Linked DNA regions of Saccharomyces cerevisiae S288C. Changing the gene in region 1 together with any one later gene gives a genetic interaction. Each region holds a gene or a part of one and is shown on either strand. Other genes may lie near its edges.

What was found.
Region 2: mutations in GCY1 (region 1) and TSR3 together harm fitness more than expected from each alone (negative genetic interaction), as found in Saccharomyces cerevisiae (2 studies listed by BioGRID).

Annotation. Positions count from the first base shown.
Region 1 is NC_001147.6:549,117-552,552, forward strand, and holds GCY1 (glycerol 2-dehydrogenase (NADP(+)) GCY1), read left to right. Parts: upstream 1-1,997; coding exon 1,998-2,936; downstream 2,937-3,436. Other genes in the region: protein kinase RIO1, read right to left, coding at 1-1,130; PFY1 (profilin), read right to left, coding at 3,182-3,436. UniProt on the Saccharomyces cerevisiae protein: Glycerol dehydrogenase involved in glycerol catabolism under microaerobic conditions. Has mRNA binding activity.
Region 2 is NC_001147.6:337,180-340,345, forward strand, and holds TSR3 (ribosome biogenesis protein TSR3), read right to left. Parts: upstream 1,443-3,166; coding exon 501-1,442; downstream 1-500. Other genes in the region: DNA ligase (ATP) DNL4, read right to left, coding at 1-164; SGT2 (Sgt2p), read right to left, coding at 1,759-2,799. UniProt on the Saccharomyces cerevisiae protein: Aminocarboxypropyltransferase that catalyzes the aminocarboxypropyl transfer on pseudouridine at position 1191 (Psi1191) in 18S rRNA.

The DNA.
Region 1 (3,436 bases):
AAGCTTTTCAGTAAGTCAAACTTACCATCAGTATACCTATCAAAATCTCTTTCCTCTAATCCACCCAATGATCTAACTAAATGCAGCGATCTGAATATTTCATCTTCTGCCTCATCTTGTTCTGTAGATTTTATTGGTAGATTACTAGCAATGTATGCAACCAAGGCGCTAATATTGTTATAATCACCTTTAAATTTCTCCAAAGTTTCTGATATGACAAATTGAAAAATAACCCTTTCAGGGAAAATACTTATACCCATCTTCTCGAAATAAAGGTTAACGTTTTTGATATCCATCCTTAAAAAATCTAAACTCATTGGATGTTCAGGTTCCACACTTTGGGAAACATCGATCATATATAGTTTATCATCATGAACTATGGTGTTATACTCTGACAAATCGGCATGAACCAGGCGACAAACTTGGTACAGCAATCTCATATATGCCACCATTGTGTGATAATAATGGAAAATTTCATCACGATTCTTGTACGGATAATCTTTTAATTTAGGTGAGGCAAATCCATTACCTCGGCTTAAAAATTCCATAACTAAGACGTTGTTCTTAACTTCTATTGGCTTAGGAGCTGGAATGACGCCACTTTGATAAATTCTTTTCAGGTTCCTAAATTCCTTTTCAGCCCAAATTTTAATCATTTTCCTTGGATTATGTTGAGATCTGGAATTTCTAAATCTAAATTCACCATCAACATATCTTTCACGATCTTTGAAGACTAGGATAGAGGTCTTATAAATCTTAATGGCATATTCTGCACGGGATCCGTCTGTCTCTAAAACTTCATACTGGCCTGTTTCCTCATCTATTACGGGTGCCTTACCGGTACCTGCAAAAGCGTGGTAAACATTAGCTTCTTTCCCAGTACTTAAGCAACCGTTCAAATCTGCAATCACACCTCTGGTGACCATAGACTTCAAAAATCTCATAGTTCTCGGATCTAAGACATTTTCCACAGTCGCCCTATTTGCTTTATCCTTTGATGTTTTCGCTCTGCTGAATGATAATTCATCAGTTTTTATTTTGTGACTATACTTCTCTAAGAGCTGATTATTAATATGGTCCGAGGCACCTTGCGACACAGACAATGAATCAAATTTATCTTCCAAGGACATGACCTTCTAAAAATAACGGAGTTTGAATCTCTAAATCTGTTTTAACTTCTTTTTACTATTATTTTTAGTCTTAGTATCTCATCTCATCTCAATTTCTATATTCCACTATAAAATTTTTCACTCTTTCTGCGCGCGCCAATGTCCCCGCAACTACTCAATAGGTAACATGAGAATATTTCAGTTCGTAAGAGAGAAGAGATGAAGTTATTTGGGCTCTTTGCTCGAGGTTACAGAAGGGCCGCATTAGAGTGAATGAGCTGATGATATTTCGCCCAGTTCTACATTTTTTTTTTTTTGGAAGTATGACCTCTGTTAAATTTTTTTTTTTTTAAATTTCACTTTCTAAAGTCCCAGAAATCCGCTTGAATGTCTTACATATTGCAATGGATATGCTTGGGTGATCATACTTCCTGGCTTTAGATATTTGAAACTTAACTCTTGTCAACAAACTTCCTATGGAGTGTATAAGAATTGTAAGTTATAACACCGGCGAACAATCGGGGCAGACTATTCCGGGGAAGAACAAGGAAGGGCGGTCTTTTCTCCCTCATTGTCATAGCAAGGTCATTTCGCCTTCTCAGAAAGGGGTAGAATCAATCTAGCACGCAGATTGCAAACACGGCTTAATAATATGCCTATCAGGCATTCACCCGTGTGACGAATCGCACACCGCTGCTCTCCTTAATTCCCTAGAGTAGAAACCGAGCTTTCAGGAAAAGACTACGGCAGTAAAGAATTGCTTTACTGGGCGTATAAAACCGGGAGAATCAAGACATTCTAATGACTTGATTCAGGATGAGAGCTTAATAGGTGCATCTTAGCAAGCTAAAATTTGGACAGCTCTCATTACTAAATTAAGATAGAAAAATGCCTGCTACTTTACATGATTCTACGAAAATCCTTTCTCTAAATACTGGAGCCCAAATCCCTCAAATAGGTTTAGGTACGTGGCAGTCGAAAGAGAACGATGCTTATAAGGCTGTTTTAACCGCTTTGAAAGATGGCTACCGACACATTGATACTGCTGCTATTTACCGTAATGAAGACCAAGTCGGTCAAGCCATCAAGGATTCAGGTGTTCCTCGGGAAGAAATCTTTGTTACTACAAAGTTATGGTGTACACAACACCACGAACCTGAAGTAGCGCTGGATCAATCACTAAAGAGGTTAGGATTGGACTACGTAGACTTATATTTGATGCATTGGCCTGCCAGATTAGATCCAGCCTACATCAAAAATGAAGACATCTTGAGTGTGCCAACAAAGAAGGATGGTTCTCGTGCAGTGGATATCACCAATTGGAATTTCATCAAAACCTGGGAATTAATGCAGGAACTACCAAAGACTGGTAAAACTAAGGCCGTTGGAGTCTCCAACTTTTCTATAAATAACCTGAAAGATCTATTAGCATCTCAAGGTAATAAGCTTACGCCAGCTGCTAACCAAGTCGAAATACATCCATTACTACCTCAAGACGAATTGATTAATTTTTGTAAAAGTAAAGGCATTGTGGTTGAAGCTTATTCTCCGTTAGGTAGTACCGATGCTCCACTATTGAAGGAACCGGTTATCCTTGAAATTGCGAAGAAAAATAACGTTCAACCCGGACACGTTGTTATTAGCTGGCACGTCCAAAGAGGTTATGTTGTCTTGCCAAAATCTGTGAATCCCGATCGAATCAAAACGAACAGGAAAATATTTACTTTGTCTACTGAGGACTTTGAAGCTATCAATAACATATCGAAGGAAAAGGGCGAAAAAAGGGTTGTACATCCAAATTGGTCTCCTTTCGAAGTATTCAAGTAATTGTTTTTGCGTGTTTCTCGTATGATTGTAATATGTAGATAAATTAAACATAAGTATATCAAATGTCGATATTCTTAAGACTGTTTCGTAAATATGTTAAATACCGGATGTGACTACATATAAAAAGTGCGCCTTTTACAGTGATAATTAGCGTCAATCAATAAAATATTTGTAAAATAGGAAGCGAAATCCCGCAGATGCCAGAATAGGTGGTGTATAAGGCAAGAAAACTTTACCTGCATAAATTAGTATTGAACACCAATCAAGTAGTCAGCCAATTGCTCGACAATCTTGGTGGCCTCACCGGCTTGTACGGTTGGTGGATAATGAGCAATAATAACGGTTTGCTTAGTTCTTACACAAACAACACCCTCAGCATCATGTCTACCGTAGATACTTCTATCGTCAGCTCTCAACAACATGAACTTTTGGCCTTGAATATGCAAACCATTGCTTTGCAAACCAGCTGGATTGTCGAAGCCTTGAACAATTTCACCAAT
Region 2 (3,166 bases), 210 kb from region 1:
GATATTATTTCATAGTACTTGAAAGACCTTGATTTGCCAGTGCCGGCCGTTCCATTAATTTGAACTTCATGTATCTTCACAAATAGCTCTTCACAAAGCCATTTGAAATCTGGACTAGGCGCAAAGTTTTGGGGCTCGGGTATAGAATCTAGTGCTGATATCATACCTAAATAATCCGTTACTATTTCCTTCAGTTCTAGATTTTTATTTTAGTATTTATTTTCCACATATTAACATATGTTTAAAGGATTTTTTCATAGTTAGATTTGTTTAAAGATTTAATATGGTGACAAAAGGTAAAAAGAGAAAAATAACAAAAAAAAGGAAAAAAGAAGAAAATAAGGGATCGAAAACGATCTTAACTCTAGTACTGCACAAACAACGTAAGTGATGAAACCGATATTATTGATCTATACTCGGCGAATCTTACGATTTATATCACAATGTTACATGTACAACGTACGTAGTTACTAAACACTGATTTCAGCCTATTTAATCACCTATCGAATTAAATTGCCTAAGGGGTCATAACTTAAAGGCTCTCCATTTTCTTTTGAACCACTTTCCTCGTCTTCTGATTCCTCAGATTGCGCTTCCCTGCTTTTCATGTTATCTATACGAATAGCATTACCTAAAGAGTCATATTCAATACATTGATTATTGCCTTCCAAATCAGATTGTTCTGAGTTTTCCTCACTCTCTGATGTGTCAGATTGCGAACCATTACCCCTTCTATTTATGTTACCCATCATCCATATATCTTCTTCTTTAGCTCGGGATTTTCGTTCTTGAGTTTCCTTTTCTAATTTTTGCAACCATTCCTCTTCAGCCCTCTTTACAGAGTCGCAGTCAGTGCACTGCTGATAGATTTCAAGCAATTCTTTGTTTAATTCTAAAAATCCCATTCCCCACGAGAAGTGTGATAACAATTCACTGGCCCAATCCATTCTCCCGACGATAGCAAAACAAGCCGCTAATGCCTCAACGCAATTGAGCCTCCATGGTCTCCCGTAATTTACTTGATTAGCGGCCACTAAATACGGCAGCAGCCTTTCGTGCTTACCGCCTATTTTATTGAAGGGTACCTCTTCTAAACGTGCCCAAGAACACTCGACCACCGAAGCGCCGTGTTGTTCGACAATTTCTAGATCATCAGGGCAAACAACACCTTTGCCGTTTGGCGAAACGACAATACCTTGAAATTTCTGTCCAACTCTCAATGATTTAATTAAGCCCAACCTTTCAAGTTTTTTACCACTGCATCTCTTTGGATCGCAATGATCAAAATCCCACATAGCCAGTTTAACAGGAAACTTCATTTTTTCTGAATTATCGTACTTCATTTCCATGCGCCTATGGTTTTGCCTGGAACTGTGCCCATTAGCGCCTCTCTGTGGTCTTCCATTTTTGGGTTCGTGCATCTTATTTTTACCTTTTCCCATTGTTACTGCTTACTCAACTGTCTTACGCGAGAAGTTCTATACAGATTTACATAAAAAGCTTTTCGATAAAGTATTTCAAATAGACATTTACTAGTAAAAATTTTTTTATGTAGTTTCTCATCACATTATATTTTCTAGTCTTCTCCGAAAATCGACGAATTTACCTGAAAAAAAGAAAAAGTAAACTACAGTCCCTATTTAAGTATTTCGCAAGTGATCTCAAAGTAAAAATAAAATTCCTGGTAACACTCATCCTAGATAGAGCTATATTTGTATCTACATAACATGTATTGCATTAAAGGCTTATTTCAGTCCACTATTGCTTGTTCTCATTGTCTGGTGTTTCATCTGTAGATTGGGCACCTGCTCCACCAAAAAGATTGCCTGCCATGTTTCTGAGTGCTGGGTTATTCATCAAGTCAGACAAATTTGGAGTTCCTCCGCCTGAAGCAAAGCCTTCAGCCATCTGTCTGATACTTGGATCTTGCATCATTTTTTGAATATTCTGCATTGCACCTGGATTGCTCATCATTTTTTGCGCAGCCTGCATCAATTGTGGGTTGTTCATTAAACCTCCAAGACCACCTCCTAATAAAGAACCAAGATCTGGCAATCCACCCGCACTAGCACCCTGACTTGCATCGACATCAGCATCCCTTGACTGTTCTGGAACGGTTTTCTCCAGATTCAAAGATTGCTCAACCTTCTTCTTGGCACTTTCATAATCCCTTTTCATAGCTTCTGTTGCATTATCGCCCTCTATATCAAGAACCTTTTTGTATGCTTCAAGGGCTTCTTCGGGTTTACCTTGCGCATATTTAGCAAAACCCAATCTAGAGTAGCCTCTGAAATAAGATGGGTCAATAGAAATTGCAGATTCAGCGTCTTTGACCGCTTGATCATATTCTTTCAGGGATGAATGAGCAGCCGCTCTATTGGCGTAATAAATAGCATTCGTTGGTAAAACTTTAATGGCTTCAGTATATTTATTGATTGCCAGTTCGTAATCCTTGTTGGCCATTGCTTTATTACCTTGCATTTTCAAGTCCTCAGCTTTGGCTTTAGTTTCCGCATCATCTTCTGGAATATTAATCTCGACATTCTCAGCATCGTCTTTCTTATTCGATTCTGGAACTCTTGACGCAGAATTTAATATATCAGCAAGATGTTGACCCTTGAATTCAGACTTGCCTAAAATGCCTGAAACAGCTTCTCTTTCAAAGCCAAAGGCTTCAGAGATACAGTCCATAGCAACATTTAAAGAATCGGCGCCATCTTCTGAAATTTCTTTCTTTTCCACAATGGAAGAAAAGTAGTTTACAATAAGGGCAGCAATTTCTTCTTTTGATGCTGACATCGTACAGTAGATTTGTATTAATAAGATATCACTTGGTCAGAAGCTTCTATTCAGTTGTCCGATTATATCGCTCGTACTCATTTTATATGGTGGCAAAATTTGGGATTAAGCGTAGGGCAATAAAACCTTCTCGGATCTTCCATTTTTTTCGATTGGGAAAATTTTAAGACTTGAAAAAGTTTGGAAAAATACAAAAGAAGGGCTAAGTGTTGTGATTAGAATGTCATGACAATAAGGTTAAAAGCAAATATTATGCCGCCTATAGCCCTTTAAAATAGCATAAAAGACCTTTGTAATTTCTATTCAATGTTAAAAAAAATCTTCCCCGCCAGGACTTGAACCTGGAATCTTCTGGTTCGTAGCCAGA